Schizosaccharomyces pombe: one gene and its partners. Changing the gene in region 4 together with the main gene of any one other region gives a genetic interaction. Each region holds a gene or a part of one and is shown on either strand. Other genes may lie near its edges. The genes, in order: ark1, par2, cwf21 and gpd3.

Region 1 (3,984 bases), on a different chromosome or scaffold from region 4:
CTGTGTGAAAACAGACTTTATACTAAAAAAATGGCAGAGAATACAATTGCCCATGAAATGATACACATGTTTGACGACCACAGGTTTGAAGTCGATTGGAACAATTTGAGACATCAGGCTTGTTCAGAAATTCGTGCTAGTAGTATGAGTGGTGAGTGTCGCTGGACCAAAGAACTTCGTTTTGGTAACATTAAAACTTTTCGGAAGCATCATCAAGAATGCGTCAAACGACGAGCTACTATCTCCGTACAAGGTAACCCGAATTGTAAAAGCAAAGAGCAAGCAGAAGCAATCGTTGAAGAAGTGTTCAATTCCTGTTTCAACGATTTCAGGCCTTTTGAAAAAAGTACGTTCGCTGTAGTTTTGTTCATTCATTTTTTTCTTCGTACTAACTATTCATTCTTTCGTCTAGTCTATTGAAATACCAGTTTACAAAAGTCAGATAGTTATTATGTCAACTCCCTTCCCCTCCCATTTTATAATATCCCGTACAGCATTTACGTTGGCTTTTAAAAAATATCGAAGCATACTTCTCACTTGTTATGCAACTTATTATGTGCTTGGCGTACTTTATCTTTATACATATTGTAACAGTTTTTTTGGAAGTTATTATTAGCTTGGCTAAAGTGATGATAAATTTTTAAATAGTTTTTATTAGGAAAATGAATGTCTTCTAAGTGATTTCGAAAAGAAAATCTGGAAAACGATTAGTTTATGGTGGTGATCCTCTATTAAATGAGTGTGTTATATTACATATAATTAAACCTCCATAACCCCCAAAGATCAAAAAAGTTCTGAAGGAATATAGTGAGCTGCGCGATTAAAAAGAGCGCTGAAACAAAAAGAAAGTAGTAATGCAAAAATGTAGTGAGAAGAAGGAAAAATTAAATAAAAAGTACCAAGATGGCGGTTAGGAAGATTCAGAACTTTTGCGAGTCCATGAATCTTTATATTTTACAATCCAAGGGTGCCTCATAACTTGTTCCAAACTCATTCTTTTTTCAGGATTATGCTGTAATAGACGAGAAATAAGATCCCGTGCATCAGGAGGAACAAAGCTTGGAATTTTTAAGTCAACTTTGGCGATACGCTTATACGTAGCTGAATGACCAGACATGTCCTCAAAAGGCGGTGCTCCCACCAAAAACTCATAAGTTAAGACACCCAACGACCAGAGATCAACTTTTTCGGTATGCTCTTTTCCCTCCACCATTTCAGGTGGTAAGTAATCTAATGTACCACATAAAGTGGTACGACGGTTAGAAGGTGCATGGACACTCCAACCAAAGTCAGAAAGCTTGATTTCTCCATCAATTCCTAATAAAATGTTCTCAGGTTTGATATCACGGTGTATTACATGCTTCTTATGCAAGTAGGATAAGGCGTTAGCCATTTGGAAGATATATTTAGACGCAACTTCTTCTGAGAATCGTTTTGCACGACGCAAGTGTTGATACAACTCACCCCTGCCAGCAAACTCTAAAATCAAATAAATCCTTTTTTCATCATGAAAGTGCCCATATAGCCGTAAAATGTTTTTATGGCGAAGATTTGATTGAATCTCAATTTCTCGTCGAACTTGCTTTTCTATCTTTGACTGGACAAGTTCAGACTTATGCAATGTTTTGAGAGCCACAATAAACCCGGTCTTCTTCTCTTTAGCTAGATATACCCTTCCAAACTTTCCTTTCCCTAAGGGTTTTCCAATTTCAAACATTCCAATATGAAATTCTCGCCATTGAGGACCAGCTGATGAAGGTACTCCAGCAATTGGCTCTTCTATCTTACGAAGGGAAGAATTGAACTTGCTATTTGAAGTCCGTTTGTTTTCCTTCCCATTTGCTAGACTAACATTATTTACTTGTCGTTGGTTTGATACTGCAAGTCGTAAAAGCTGTTGTCTCCCAGGATTAGCTGTGGTTGATGGAGTTGACACAGAAAGGCAATTCAAAGAATCTGCCAACTTTGAATCTGACATTATTTCGTAAAAAAACGCTGATGTTGGCTTTTGACAAGTTCGTCCAGAAGTAGGAGCGTTGTTGTTTACATTTTGAGGTAACACCATGTTTACTGAGTCTTAACACAGCCTGCTATTATCTTCCTTTCTTTCAAACTAAGAAGGAGGCTCTGATTCCCGTTGTTATTTATGAATACTCAAAGGGTGTTTCAAAGATTATTTACATGGAAATTATGAACGAATTTATTTAGCATACGAACCCACTTCGATTCTACAAATGTTATTAAAAAAAACGACATGTATCGTTCTCAACAAAATAAATAAAAGGAAAACAAACAGAATATTCTATATCATCCCAATACCACAGGCTTAAAAGTATATTTAGTATCTGTTTTTTATTCTTTTCAATGTGTCCACTGTTTGTTTACCGAATAACGATATACAGTGAACTATTCAATACTAGTTATAGAATACTTACAATATTAACGCTTCAGAAGGAGACAGTGCTAACTAACAAGAAAAGAAAAGAATTCAGTAAGTAGAGTAACACCAAAAGAAAAGGACCGAAAAGTGAATTAACAATTGTAGTTGATAATAAATTATCGTATTTCTCAATCAATTTAGAAAAGTACACGATAAAAAATCTCCGTCAGGGGGAATCGAACCCCCGCCGCATCGGTGAGAGCGATGAATCCTAGCCACTGGACCATGACGGATTATATAATTCTGCGATTGTTTTAGCATTAATTATCAGCTTTTTCATTCTTGATTAAGATTTCTCATAAAAAAAAAGAACTCTTTAGTAACGAGTTATATGCATAGTAATGTGAAAGTCAAAACACCGTTTGTTGGATATTTATTTCTAAACTGATTTAAGCTGCAGTCAAGTCCATTGCTGAGCAGATACAGTTTACAGAAATTAACGAGGCTTGGTTCAAACTATTGATATATTTAACCAATGCTGCATGACTGTTCATCACGCTAAAGGTAGAAAGACGTTACTATTCTGGCACTCAATGAGTCGAAACAATTGTTATACATGCATTTTCGTTATATTCTATGACACTCTTAACAGACTGTTTCTACATCTTGAAATTCTCACTATATAATGTTAACATTTATTACAGAGGAATACTACAAATAGTGATTAGCATTATACTCGCTATGCTACATGTCACTGTTTTATGAACTAGCAAGTTGGAGCTCCGTCCTGCTGTTTCATTTCCATTTGGTTCTAATTGTGTAAGTGTCTTTACAATTGTCGCCTATAAATTCGTTTCCGAGTTGGGCTCGCATTTTTTGACCTTCTTTTCATAGTAAAGATAAGATAGCGTTACAGTTGACGGTTCTCTCTATAAATGATCGAGAGCTCTGCTTGATTTGACATCTCTCATTGTCGTTAAATTCTTCAGTTTGCATTTTAAGACTGAATAGTTTACAGAATAAAAGGATATTTTCACTCTTTTTAAATTTTTAAAAAACTACGACAATGAGCGATAACCTGGTGCTTCCTACCTATGATGATGTTGCTTCAGCTAGTGAGCGAATTAAGAAATTCGCCAACAAAACCCCAGTACTCACGTCGAGCACAGTAAATAAAGAGTTTGTGGCAGAAGTGTTTTTTAAATGTGAAAATTTCCAAAAAATGGGTGCTTTCAAATTTCGCGGTGCCCTTAATGCTCTTTCTCAACTCAATGAAGCTCAACGTAAAGCTGGTGTTTTGACGTTTTCTTCTGGTAATCATGCTCAGGCCATTGCACTGTCGGCAAAGATCTTGGGAATTCCAGCAAAAATCATTATGCCACTCGATGCACCCGAAGCCAAGGTCGCTGCCACGAAAGGCTATGGTGGTCAAGTAATCATGTATGATAGATACAAAGATGATAGAGAAAAGATGGCCAAAGAAATTTCTGAAAGAGAAGGTCTTACCATTATCCCTCCTTACGATCACCCCCATGTACTTGCTGGTCAAGGAACCGCAGCTAAGGAACTGTTTGAAGAGGTTGGCCCTCTTGATGCACTTTTTG
Region 2 (5,318 bases), on a different chromosome or scaffold from region 4:
GAATCTGCTATTTACTTTCTTTTGAAAAAGCATTTTCGTCAAGAGTCATGCTACGTTGATCTAATTGAACTTTTCCACGACGTAACTTTTCAAACGGAATTAGGGCAGCAACTCGATTTACTTACTGCTCCCGAAGACTCCGTCGATCTTTCGAAGTTTTCTCTTCAAAAGCATTCTTTCATTGTAATTTACAAGACTGCATTTTATTCCTTTTATTTGCCTGTCGCATTGGCAATGCATCTCGCTGGTGTAGCTACTCCTGAGAACTTGAAATGCGCCCAAGACATCCTTATTATCCTTGGTAAATACTTCCAAGTTCAAGATGATTATTTAGATTGCTATGGTGATCCTACGGTAACTGGTAAAATTGGGACTGATATTTTAGACAACAAATGTTCTTGGATTATCAATCTTGCTCTCGCAAAGTGTACTCCTGAACAACGTGTTATTTTGGACGACAATTATGGACGTAAAGATAGCGAAAGCGAAAAGAGAGTTAAAGCTGTTTTTGAGGAACTCAATATCCGTGGTGAATTCGAGAACTATGAGGAATCAGAAGTTTCTGAAATCAAAAAGCTAATTGATGGAGTTGATGAATCAACCGGTTTGAAAAAATCCATATTTACCACTTTCTTAGGAAAGATTTACAAAAGAAATAAGTAAATTTCTTGTTCTATGTTTTTATTCGACTCAAATTGGCAATTGCGCTGTAGATACTTTTTAGAGAATACATCCATTGTTGACAATACCAACTTTTAATATTGAATCATTGTATTGGTAAAGGACCTGCAAAATACTACATAACTTATATCATTAAAAATCCAGTTCTCATGAGGCGTATTAAAATATGTAACAAAAGGTGGTAATACGACTCCAAAATGAATCTTGACACTAGTATATAAAATGCGGTGTATAAAAGATAGCAAAAACAAAATGAATCCCAATTGGCGTTTACGCGTATAAACAGGGAATTTCTAAAGATTACAAATTAAATAAACTTTATTCTCTGCCGCGACCAAATAGTTGTAACATATATAAACATATTCCTTACGAAGGAATTATCTTAAATAATCAGTGGGTTTGTTTTCCGCCGCTAATGCCTCAATCTGACACCATTGCTGTTTTCTAATAATCATAACTTCTTCTTGCTTTATAATGGCCTGTTTATAATCCTCAACAAGTCCATTAAAAAAGTCCGCATCCATATCGACAAAAATTTGTAAAACATTACAAGCAATAGCTTGTATAGTGCTATTCCAATGCTCATTAGCAGTTTTGTAAAGAGAAGGATATATTATAGGGAGAAGGGTTACTACGTTTTGGCTGACAAGACTTGTGAAGTACTCATTGCTCCACAGACATAAGGCACGTTCGGCGACCTGGAAATGCATACTAGATATTGAGCGAGCTAGTTGCTGAAATAAAGGGGACATTATATTAACAAATTCGGAAGGCTCCAAAACTTCAAAGATATCTTCAATTTCATTCAAAAACAGTAATTCTTTAAAGCTGTTTATTCGTGGCCAGTACTTAAGAATGCCAGTCAAGACTGCCTTCGTTAAAGAAGGATCTTTATCGATAAACTGAACAATGCAATACGTAAGTTGGGGATGGTATAAAAAAACAGATTTAGTTTGATGTAAAGGAATAAGCACTTTGGACAAAAATATTTTATGTTCTTCTTTTAAAGGTACAGCAAATCCATTAATAATACTAATAAGTTAGTTTGTAAATCAATTTAGGAACTATAACCATTAATGAAACATACCTTCCAAGTATCTCCAGTAGTTCAGCGATTCCATGAAATTTTTCTCGTTCATAAATGAATTGCAAAAAAACATTATTCATAGACTTTCTAATGTATGACCTAAGGTTCAGAAATTTTCCGTAAATCCTATGTAATGTTGTTTTCAGAAGTTCGCGCTCACGCGGGTCTTCTGTGTCAAATAGTGCTAGCAAGCGATTAAAAAACCTACGATCAACGAGCGATTTTGCTTTACTGGCTCTAAAGTCAGGAGATTCTAGGAACTTAATAAATAATAAATACACCTCTTCCAAGTGAGGCCACGCTGGCTCCAAAAAAGGCTCATCGTCTAAAGCAAACATATCTGATGAATAATCATTAAGAGCAGGTGATATAGGCCGAAATACATTGAGGGAAAACTATAGTGATTAGATTTTTACAGTAATAAAAAGCAGAGGAGTAAACATACTGTATTGACAACATAAGGAAAAAGCGATGCGGAAGAAATACCGCGGTTTTCAGACACATAATCTATCATTTGTAATAAGGCTTCTCTTTTTATTTCTTTGCTAGCCAAATCGGAAGATGGATCATTAAAATCGAAAATAATATTGCATTGTTCAAGCTTCTTTATAAACAGTTCTTCACGTTCAGAGGTATGAACATCTAATTATATTAGCACAAGAATAAAAAAAAGTACATTATTAAAATAAGATATAAGAATCTTACTAAACGTACCATCAAATGAAGGCAACCGAACTAATGTTCTTTTCTCAGATACTTGAAATTGAGAGGAGTGTTCGCGTCGAGGTACTGGTCTAAGACTATGCGGAATGTCAACATTCTCAGCACCTGCTAAAAATTTATTTAAGGGAGTTGGCTGTGAAACTAAATAAGGAGGAGTGGATTGTGGGACAGATAAAAATGAGGCAGAAGATATGGAATCATTAGGAAATTCGTCTATGTTAGACGATACAGAATCCTACAAGTAAGTTAGTATGAAAATAATCATTTTGGTAGAAAATATTAAACTAACCGACGTATACTTACATTTTTTGGTTCTGGATAATTAGGTGGGAAATGGTTGGCGTCTTTAACTTTAGAAGTTTCAATTACGGGCAAAAACGTAGAGTAATCAGAATCCTCATGTCCAGATGCTAGAACCGTCGTATGTATTTTTTTATCAGAATTTTCATGTTTTTCATTATTTGAGTTGGCATGATGATTTCGTTTGTGCTTTAAAGTATCTTTTAGGAAATGACTCTTAAGTTTTTTAAGCTCGTGTTTTGAAGAATGGTGAGTGTCTGTGTGCTTCACGTCGTCAGTTTCCACGTAAGACCCATTTTTAGAGATATAGTGGCTTTTTGAATGACCATTTTTATGTGACCCTTGTTCATCCTTCAACGAAAGTGCTTTTACAAATTTACTCCTTAATCCTTTCATTAAAAGGCAAATGAGATGATTTCCTTGCTCAATTGCAAGTTATAAAGATAGCGAATAACCAAATTTAAAAAACGAATGATTCCTAGGATTGGGACCGAATGTAATTTCGAAACTTAAATGAATGCACCTATTACTGAATATGTAAACGTTGTCTTTCTTCAAAAGAACGTCTGTTAATAAATTTGTACACAATGATGAGTTAGAAAAGGGTAAATTTATGTGGTGGGTAAATAAATGATTTGTTCCTTTCAAGTACTCCGTAAATATGTCTCGGCAAGTCAAAGAGTTAACGGCAACAACCTCGGTAACAGAATTCTGAGCCCCTTTATAAGATGGGTATATAAGCTAAACACCCTAGGGAATAGTTAAGAGGGTTAACCTTGAAACTTCCTGTAATGACAACTTTACTATGAGTTATGTTTGGCAAATGAAGCAAAACGGGGCGAGTGGCTCGAATGTTATGGGACGCTACCGAAGGCTGGTAGTATGAAATAACGTACTTGGGAAATTGGCTGGTACTGTGAATTAACGGATCGGCAAAAATCTTGTGTTATGATGTTACTGTATTGTTGTACGATGTCCGAGGTTTGGAACAACATTATTTTAGCTGCCAAAAAATTAAAATGCTTTTGAAGCAATGATATTGATGTGTATCAATTAATTTTTCATTTGAGGAATAAGTTATCCAGATTATTAATTAAATTACTTTAAAAGCAAATATATATAAAGTCTTTGCCCTACTTTTTCCAGTGTTTTATAGCATACCATATTAGGCATATATCTTATGAATAGTCTAAAAATTTCTGACAATGAATATGCACTCATTGAGCATCCGGGCTTTGCTAATAACAAGGATGCATTTTTTCAGACATTAGGCGGTGTTCAATCAATTCAAAAGGTAAATTGCTAAAAAAGTATAGGAATGACCGGCTTACATCTTTAAGCTTCCCCTTTTATAAAACATGAATTTGATAATCTTTTTTGACCTAATACTAACAATTTCTAGGCATGTCAAACTTCATTTCAAAACCCAAAACAAGCTCTGTTGGAGTTGAATCTAAGGCCTAAAGATAAATACCATCATCCAGTACAAGCTCGAGTGCAATCCAGAAATGACCTATTAGTAACGATTAAAAAAATGGACAACTCTGTGCAAAATGTCAGTAGAATTCGTCAAGTTTTCTTATTCAGAGATATGGCTGATTTCCAGTATAGTACTCAAAATTCACCATTCGTTCAAAAATTAGATTCCACTCTGCGAGTGCTTGACTATAACGCCATTAATAAGTTTTCCATCGATCTAACTCCGGTACAAAGAAAACATGTCGACATGCCTCCTCCTCCTGTTTTCTCTCAGACAAGTCTACCCATGTCTTATAACTTCTTGCAAAATCCACTAGTAGGTCGAGTTCGGCTACCTAATGGGAAAACTACAATAGTCAATCTAAAAGGTCAATGCAGAGTTTGGATTATCACTACAAATATGGGGGTTGAAAGTGTACCTACATGTAGACACTCAAAATTAGGTGAGCCTTCGAAGACAATTCAGGAAGTTATAGAAGCTTTAAAACCTCTTTTTGAAAAACGACCCGTTTGGACGAGAAGAGCCTTATTAAATCATCTAGACCCGTCATATACTCACTATTTGAAATTTGCTCTTCCTTACCTTTCTTATTTATGGACTTCAGGTCCATTTAGAGATACATATACGCGGTTTGGATACGATCCTAGAAAAGATTCTAATGCAGCTGCTTACCAAGCTTTGTTCTTTAAACTCAAGCTAAATGGAAAACATAAAGGGACTAAAACTCACGTGTTTGATGGCAAGACTTTGTTTCCCACTAATCGTGTTTATCAAGTGTGCGATATCGTAGATCCCACAATTGCACCACTACTGAAAGATACTCAGTTACGTTCTGAATGTCATCGGGACACAGGATGGTATAGAAGCGGTCGTTACTATAAGGTTAGAGATCTTATGCGTGAAAAACTCTTTGCGCTGATCGAAGGAGAAATGCCTTCTGAAGTCGCGGTGAATATGATTTTAAACGCCGAAGAGGTAGAGGAATCTGACAGATATTCGAATTTTGATGAACAGGATAATACAGATTTAAATGATACTGTTAGAGGT
Region 3 (4,469 bases), on a different chromosome or scaffold from region 4:
GAGTCAGGAATGACCAATGCTGATAATGTTTAGAAGAGGCTAACTTTGCTCCGTTTGAGACGTTAAAGTGAAATACGAGCTCACTGTTCCTACCCATTGATGCTGCCAATTCGTATAATATGCTATATGAACCTACATCTAGTCAATTGCTTTGTGAACAAAGCTTGGTATATTGGCGATAGTAACAAACAAGCTAGTCGAAAATTTTTAACTAGTTTTTAATTCAGATTTCGATAGAGTAATCGCGTTAAATATATTTACCTGTCCAATAAAAAATTTCGATGAAAAAATGTTTTTTTTCTTTTCAATTATCTACAGAAAACTAATTAATTAATGCTTTGCGACTTAGCAAGAAGTTGTAATACGTGTTTAATGTACTGTAGTATCTAGGAAATTGAAAGTTATATGAAACAATAGATATTTATTTTAAAAAAGTTAAAGCGATTGGAAATCAAGATTTGAATGTATGATTAATTTTGTTTAGAAAAAAAAATGGGTTTTCTCTCAATGTCGCAGTGTCATCCTTGTGCAGGGGCCATGCTCTAAACAACGAGTTAGTATGACTCGAACCTTGGTAAATATTGTTACTTACAATCTTCTCTGTATCGTTTCAATTTGACCAAAGTGATCCGAAGATCATCAGAAAATAAAAATTGTATTATTTATAATTAAACTTATATTATAATTTTTTTTATAAATTGGTTTTATTATATAATTAATATTGCTTTAAAGCAAGTTCATTTTGTAAAATATATATAATAAACATTATTGGTATAAAAGCTCTGAGATTTACAGTATGCAGGAAAACAAAGCCGCCAAGAGCTACTTTGACTAAAATCGCGTGAATAATCTCGAAAATCTTTATTAAAAAGATTCTTTTATGCTTAATTAATGAATTTAAAATACAAATGTAAAAGCGTAATTGTAAATTTAAAATTGCTTCATTATCCCTCCGTGAAAAAGAAAAATATCAAATGATGTTTAAATCGTGCAACTTAACAGCCTTAATATAAAGTCGATAGTATTTTTTCTTTGAAGAATAATATTTTTTATATCATTGAACAGTCGTGTGCTTCATGGGATTTGACTAACGTGTATTGCTAACCAAATATTCATATTAATCCAACGATTGTTGATGACCCGAATAATTATCCAATATTAATAAACAATACATGCTTGCATGAATTGCCTATTATATTATTGTTTTAACTGGCCTAACTCTTTGGGCCTCATACAATTTCGCCACCCTCAGGAGAGGAATCCCTGTCCACAACAGGAATTGACTCATTCTTCGTATAGGAGGGTGAATTGCTTCTTTCTCTCCTTCTATGATAAGAATACCTTTCCCGTTCATCGTGTCTATTATAATCTCTTCTGGGTAATTCAGAACGCCTTGAGTAACTTTCATTACTACTCCGTCGTCTTTCTAATTCATCGTAGGAGGAATACGAATCGTAATGTCTTCTTCTATTTTCATTGTAATTGTCCACATGCCTTTTTGAATTTAATGATTTCCTCTCGGAATAACGCGGGTAATCATAATAATCATCGTCAACTGATGATCTCAAATCGTCTCTTTCTTCTAATCGCCCATCATCGTCATTTTTCGAGTGAAATCCTCTTGTTTCTTTTCTTTTCTGAGGTTGAAGAATGGATTCAAAATTTTTTCCTTTTTCAGTAGATTTTTGTAATTGCAATTCTTTAAGTAACTGTTCTCGATATTTTTGTACTAAAATTTCTACATCAGCTTCATCTAAAGATTTAGTTTTCGATTGTGATTGCTCATCTTTTATAATTGCTTTAGGTGGCTTCGGGTTTTCAGTCCCAAAATTTGTATTGGAATCAGATGCCGCTGCATCAGTGCTGTGTTGGGAACTGACCTCCTCCAACAACTGCTCTCTGTACAACAACAACTTCGACTCAATTTGTCGACGGCATTCATGCTCGCTTATTGAAGGATCTTGAACCCGTTTTTCCAGAGCTTTTGCATTTCGATTTGACTGTAGATTTGTATTTTTGTCATATTTTTTTACGTGAGACAGATTCCGCATTACGTATCCATTTGTTCCTGATCCTCTTGGAGTGGGTAATCCAATTCCATTATACGACTTTAATTGTTAGCAAAGGACTCAATTTTGGTGTCTTCTTCATTAAAGAAAGCTTTTTATGCATCTCTTACCATCTTGCTTTATTTCCCGTGAAGTCGTTCGATTTTTGCTTTTGCTCAAAAATTAGAAAAACTGAGTTTATATAGGTTCGTCGAACAGCTAGTCTAACAAAGGAATCGAGCGAACAAATTTTACCGGTAGGACACTGATAAATTCGCGTTACTTTTTACGTGATATGAGCAACTAGCGATTTACTAATTGAAACAGATAAAATTTTATCCCTATTCGTTGACCGGTATTGAAAAATAATTGATATCTCTCACCTTTCACGAATAGCTAATTTTCAGATTTACTAGTTTTTGAGTTGTCATCGCTTGACTTCTGACATTATGAATGTATATGTACAACGAGATGACGGTAAGTTACTTTAAACAAAATTTACCACTCCTTTAAATTGTATTTGCAAGTTGATATTATCAGCTCGTTATTTAAAGTTTCGATTTGTTATGCTTGTTTCGATGCAAAAATTTTGGGATGGCATATAAATATTTAATACTTGTTCTAACATTGGCATGGTACAGTTGGTTTAGGTCAAATACATCGATTTCGAATTTTTGTGCAGAGTGGGGGCAATTTGCATTCGGCAACGTCTTCTACAACTGTGCCCCCCACTGTGAACCTCAATTCAGTGACTAAGAAAGAGAGTGGTAGCATCGAGGATAGAGCAGGTTCAGGTGGGATGACAATCTCTAGTGGGGAGAATATCAGCAAGCAAATCTCAGAGAATAATAGTAGCACGAATCCGAAGCATGCAAATTCAGAATCCTCACCTCTTCTTTCCAGCGATTTTTCATCTTCTTCAAAAGATTATCATAAAGTTGGTGCGTTTACAGATAATACCAATGCAATCAACATACCTGAACAAACAAGAGGTGTCTCTCATACCTCTTCTTCTCCTTCTGTAGGTACTTCATTCTCTTCTATTAATCTTCGTGAAGTAAAAAATCCCTTGGCAGGAAGCGACTCTACAGCTCCCTTCATAAATTCGACTAACTCGGTACTTTGGATTCGTGTCAGGAATAGAGAAGCACGTTTCCGCCAGGCAGCCTATCTTCAAGGTCCATTTACATTATGCGTTAGCGTTTGGAATGACCAATTTTTTGATGAAAAAAATTCTTTATTAAACTTTGATCCTCAGGTACAGCCCTCTACTAGTTTTTGGGTCTGTGTACCTTATTCATGTTTTTCCAATCAGCAGCCTATTTACATTGAAATTGCAAGTCAGGCGATTTTTAAAGATAGATCTATTAACTTTGAGCTTGCTATATCGCAATCTCAACATTCCATTCGAGCCATGTCAGCTGCTGATATCGATACTCTTCATGCATTCCCTGCTCTACACGTTGAACATCAAACTCCGGAAAATTTATGGCGTCTTCCGTATTCTTCATTTCATTCAAAGAATTCACATTTGGTGGTGCTAACTCATGGAATGCATTCTAATGTTGGTGCTGATATGGAGTATTTAAAAGAAAAACTAATAGAATCATCAAAATCTGTTAAGGAACTAGTAGTTGTTCGAGGATTTACCGGTAACTACTGTCAGACTGAGAAAGGGGTTCGCTGGCTGGGTAAACGACTTGGTGAATGGCTGTTGGATATTACGGGCTGGGGAAGTGCATCTTTTCCTCGATATTCCCATATATCAGTTGTCGCCCACTCACTTGGTGGATTGGTTCAAACATATGCTGTTGGTTATGTACATGCAAAAACGCACGGTGCCTTTTTTCAGGCTATTCACCCTGTGTTTTTTGTAACTTTGGCAACTCCTTGGCTCGGTGTTGCTGGTGAACATCCTTCTTATATTGGTAAGGCTTTGTCCTATGGTATCATTGGTAAGACAGGACAAGACTTATCTTTAACTCCACTGAATCACTCCATTGAATCAAGACCTTTCCTTGTTTTGATGTCTGATCCTTCCACGCCTTTCTTTCAAGCTGTTTCGTTTTTTGAAAAAAGAATATTATTTGCAAATACTACCAATGACTATATCGTCCCTTTTGGAACTAGCGCAATGGAAGTTAGTTCTTTGGGTAAGGTAGAGGAAGCTGAGGGTTCAGATAAGGTTATGCCTACGCATATGGAAAATGGCATTTCACCAACACTAAAAGAAAATGAGCAAACAGTTCAAAGTGTCGGAGATAATGCAAAGAAAATCCATGCTTCTTCAGAAGAATCTGGATCTTCATTTTCTAAAGCTCTTAAATCCTTTGTAGGATTGTTCAGTTATTCGGCATCCAAAACTACAGATACTGAAATTCCATTAGTAAAAAATGAGGATGAAAATGCTAGGAAGCCTAC
Region 4 (4,286 bases):
ATTAGCTGTTATCCAGAAAAGAATCAAATGCAAGCATGAAATTTTTTGAATAATTTTCTGAAGCACAAACAGCTCTAAGTATCAAACATTAAGAGTTGCGAGAACCGCCTAAATGGAACACTCGCTTTCATCATCATACTTGATGGTCTGAGATTGATCTGGAAAGTGGAGTGAACGAACACTAAGAATGAAAATGCTAAATTTAAATTGCTATCTATTAATATATAATTTTTCTTATCGTTTGACTTACACTTCCATTCTAGAAACTTGCAAATAGGGGCAGTAAAGATAGGCAGCAGAGGCCCTCAAAAGGACTGAAAAATTATTTACTTCACCCAAAAAAGCGTGGGCCAAGTTTATGGAAACATCTTAGCGAATATCTATCATCAAGACGAAAACAATTATCTCAAATGCAAACGGTAATAGAATGCTAACAAGCAACTATGATAACTATATAATGCTTTATAAATCAGTCTACCTTTTTTACCTCCAATAAACTACCACATTTCAAATCAAAATTTTCATACACCACATACTTTACGGATTTTTTACACATTAAAAACAAGTGAAGAAAAAACAATTCATTTAAAATTATATCTTAATCTATTTCGTAGAAAGGTCGTCAGCTATAGAGATCGCCCTAGGAGCGCAATCAAAATGATAACGTGGAATAAAAGAGGAAAATCTCATACATGTCTATCATTATCGTAGCAAACCCCAGAAAAGGAAAAGGGGGAAAACAAGCATAAGAATAAAAAACCAAAAGTTCGCACATATGTAAGACCCCCCAAAACCGAACGCATGTTCAGTTGAATAGCTTGGAGTTTAACAACGGCTGATTAGAGAGATATAGATTGACGACGGAATAAATCGAAAGAAGCAATCTAATCCTTGGAAGCAGTGTAGGCAACCAAGTCAACAACACGGTGGGAGTAACCCCATTCGTTATCGTACCAAGAGACGAGCTTGACGAATTGAGGAGAAAGTTGGATACCGGCAGAGGCATCGAAGATGGAGGAGTGGTTGTCACCACAGAAGTCGGTGGAGACAACAGAGTCCTCGGTGTAACCCAACACACCCTTCATGGGACCCTCAGAGGCAGCCTTGATAGCAGCCTTGATGTCCTCGTAGTTGGTAGGCTTGGCCAACTTGACGGTCAAGTCAACAACGGAAACATCGGGGGTAGGGACACGGAAAGCCATACCGGTAAGCTTACCGTTAAGAGCGGGAATAACCTTACCGACGGCCTTGGCGGCACCAGTGGAGGAGGGGATGATGTTGGCGCTGGCGCCACGACCACCACGCCAGTCCTTCTTAGAGGGACCGTCAACGGTCTTTTGGGTGGCAGTGGTAGCGTGAACAGTGGTCATGAGACCCTCTTCAATACCGAAGGTGTCGTTGATGACCTTGGCAAGGGGAGCCAAACAGTTGGTGGTGCAAGAGGCGTTGGAGATAACCTTCTCGGAGGGGTTGAACTTCTCCAAGTTAACACCGACGACGAACATGGGAGCATCCTTGGAAGGAGCAGAGATGATGACACGCTTGGCACCACCCTTCAAGTGAGCAGAGGCAGTCTCCTTGGTAGTGAAGACACCAGTGGACTCAATAACGTACTCAGCACCAGAGGCAGACCACTTGATGTTGGCGGGGTCACGCTCGTTGTGGACATCGATGGAGTGACCGTCGATGACAAGCTTGCCACCCTTGGTCTCAACGGAGCCCTCAAAGCGACCGTGGGTAGAGTCGTACTTGAACATATATGCCATGTAGTCAAGATCGATGAAAGGATCGTTGACAGCGACAACTTGGATCTTGCCAGTGAGGATGGCGTTACGGAGGACGATACGGCCAATACGACCGAAACCGTTGATACCAACTTTAGGAATTGCCATTGTTATCTGAAAAGAGTTAGTAAGAAGAAGAGATCAAAGAGGAGAGAAAAAGGCAAAAAGAAGCGAGAGAGGGAAGAAAGCGAAGAGAAGAAGAAGAAGAAACGATGAGCGTCATTAAAAGAAAAGATATCATTATTGAGAGAAGAATAGAAAAGAAAGTATACTAAAAACAGCAGCTTTGTCGCTTTCGGCAAGTCTATTTTAATTTCTGACCAAACTGCCGTCAAGCGAAAAATAAAGCCTTCTTTACCGAAAGAAACGGAAACTAACGAATCTTATCACGACTTCGTTGTACAATTTCACCATACTGGATATGACATGTTTTCGTCATGTCAAGTAAAATCAGAGAGCCTCTTCTCTTGGCAATCTCACTGACCATTTTCATTTCAATTCATCGCTCAAAATCCATCTTTTTCAACTAAAAGAGAATATCAAAAGAAAATATCCCTTCCTTTTCCTCAATCTATTTTTCCCTCTTGGCAGGTGTTTGACACATGTCACATGTCTCACCAAGCCAATGCTTTGCCAATGCCACAGCGCATCACATACCTAATTAATTCGATTGCTATTTCTCAAAACCAAACAAGTACTATTGCTGATTTCTTGATACTACAAAGAAGCAGACTGGCCTACCACTCCTATTTATATTGTATGTGTTTACGCTAGAGTTGTCATGCCAACGACGGTATCGTAAGCGGCGATTTCCGTGTTCGGTACTTGGCAGATCGGATAATGAAATTAGCGGCCTTCTAGATAACTTCCCATGCGAATATTTTTGGCTCATAATCATACAACAATCGACGCATTGCGTTGACCTTTCCCTCGCCTCGCTTGACAGGAACGAGAGAGGCAAGGATGGAATGGCATGGAATGGATGAGTTGGGATGGCGGTGGAAAAGAAAAAGAAATGTAAACAATGAGTGTAGAGGAAAGAAGAAGAGAAGAGAATAGCATAGCATAGCATAGCATAGTAATCAAGAGGACAAGTGGGAGAAATGAGACAAGTGGTAAATCCAAGTCAACTGTGAAATTTCGAATGCAATTGGATTCAATCCATTTCTATTGATTCTATAAAAATGTTCATTTACTTCACTATTCATCGACTCACTTCACTAATAGTCATCGAGTATATCTGCTGTGTGTGTCAGTCTCGTCCCTTCCATCATCCATCAATCCGCCCTTGGAATGGCGTTTCCAATGCCTAGATGGAATGGAATGTTTAGAGGGTTGGCCCAGTTAGCTGTTGTTAGGCTGACGATTCTTGCATTGAATTGCATGATTTTGTTTGACCGTGCTAACAGGGCTATTAGCAAGGCTCATGGCATCCCAGCGGCTCCTCGGGAATAACGAGGTGCAAAGTCTCGTTAACATCATCTGTTTGTGAGGGAGGATGGAGGAGGGTAGGAGGGTAGGAGGGTAGCGAAAAGGTAGGAAGGGAGCGGGTTAGACGTGGAACATGAAGGAGAAGACATAGAATAACAAGGAGAAGATATAGAACAATTGTTTACAGTGCACAGTTTGGAAAAGAGATTCAGTTGGAAAAGGAAAATCGTTGATGTTGAGATTGTTATTGTATAAAGTTTTTGCTTTCTATTGACATCTCTCATTTACCTACTACCACTTTCCACTCCTTTTTCTCTCTCTCTCTCCCCCCCTACTTTATCGAGTTCAACAATACTCTGCTGTCCGACTATACTGAACTACGACGCTTTGCACTATGTTCCTCTGCGCTTGACTGCCCAGGACGTTCCTTCGGTTAATCGTAAGCTGTTTCTTCGGAAAAAATTGATCGGCAGTTGGGACAATTTGAGTTTCCGGGGCGGTTACAAGGTCTTGTGATGGTTGGCGGATTCGGATTGAAAGAACCCTAATTCACCTTCTAGAGAAACCTTATGTGAATGAGCTGACGAATCAACCATCGACGAGGATCCTTTCAAGGTCCGGGATGCGCTCATCCTCAAGTCCATACTGGTTCCGAGAGTTTCTATTGCGTCACTTTTTATGTAGGCGAAATTAATTTTGGCGGGCCACCGTCCGATAAGAAAGGAAAAGGAACCGAAGGAAGCAGGAGGAAGCAGCTGAAACAGCGCGAGACTCACATACAGAGAGTGAGGAATAACACAGTAATGCAACGTAAAAACAAAGCCATCAAAAAAGAACTTTGCTCTATGGAAACACACTGTAAGCAATGGAAACCCAGAATTGTTGTCTTCATAAAGGTCAATGAGTAACACAAAAAAATATGAGTTTTTAATCAATTGACTACTTCAATCCATTCTTTCTTCATTCAATTCCCATTCCCATTCCCTTCAAACGGCCGAACTAGTTTCTTCCTTGTCCTCCATAACGAGCAGTGTCAACAACGTGCACTATCCTAACGTAGAGTGTCATTCT

Evidence for each region.
Region 1: mutations in gpd3 (region 4) and ark1 together harm fitness more than expected from each alone (negative genetic interaction), as found in Schizosaccharomyces pombe (one large-scale study listed by BioGRID).
Region 2: mutations in gpd3 (region 4) and par2 together harm fitness less than expected from each alone (positive genetic interaction), as found in Schizosaccharomyces pombe (one large-scale study listed by BioGRID).
Region 3: mutations in gpd3 (region 4) and cwf21 together harm fitness more than expected from each alone (negative genetic interaction), as found in Schizosaccharomyces pombe (one large-scale study listed by BioGRID).

The regions. Positions count from the first base shown.
Region 1 is NC_003421.2:139,656-143,639, reverse strand, and holds ark1 (Aurora-B kinase Ark1), read right to left. Parts: upstream 2,011-3,984; 5' UTR 1,979-2,010; coding exon 911-1,978; 3' UTR 602-910; downstream 1-601. Other genes in the region: peptidase Atp23, read left to right, coding at 1-346, 413-420; serine racemase Sry1, read left to right, coding at 3,447-3,984. UniProt on the Schizosaccharomyces pombe protein: Component of the chromosomal passenger complex (CPC), a complex that acts as a key regulator of chromosome segregation and cytokinesis.
Region 2 is NC_003424.3:1,333,797-1,339,114, reverse strand, and holds par2 (serine/threonine protein phosphatase PP2A regulatory subunit B-56 Par2), read right to left. Parts: upstream 3,613-5,318; 5' UTR 3,188-3,612; coding exon 2,795-3,187; intron 2,727-2,794; coding exon 2,483-2,726; intron 2,411-2,482; coding exon 2,214-2,410; intron 2,164-2,213; coding exon 1,769-2,163; intron 1,714-1,768; coding exon 1,059-1,713; 3' UTR 713-1,058; downstream 1-712. Other genes in the region: geranyltranstransferase Fps1, read left to right, coding at 1-663; transcription factor TFIIIC subunit Sfc1, read left to right, coding at 3,972-4,085, 4,194-5,318. UniProt on the Schizosaccharomyces pombe protein: The B regulatory subunit might modulate substrate selectivity and catalytic activity, and might also direct the localization of the catalytic enzyme to a particular subcellular compartment. Has a role in cell shape control and septum formation.
Region 3 is NC_003424.3:2,561,782-2,566,250, forward strand, and holds cwf21 (protein Cwf21), read right to left. Parts: upstream 2,470-4,469; 5' UTR 2,183-2,469; coding exon 2,180-2,182; exon of another isoform or gene 2,109-2,179; coding exon 1,230-2,108; 3' UTR 696-1,229; downstream 1-695. Other genes in the region: rog1 (lipase), read left to right, coding at 2,498-2,525, 2,690-4,469. UniProt on the Schizosaccharomyces pombe protein: Involved in pre-mRNA splicing. May function at or prior to the first catalytic step of splicing at the catalytic center of the spliceosome. May do so by stabilizing the catalytic center or the position of the RNA substrate.
Region 4 is NC_003423.3:576,337-580,622, reverse strand, and holds gpd3 (glyceraldehyde 3-phosphate dehydrogenase Gpd3), read right to left. Parts: upstream 2,507-4,286; 5' UTR 2,442-2,506; intron 1,899-2,441; 5' UTR 1,893-1,898; coding exon 885-1,892; 3' UTR 567-884; downstream 1-566.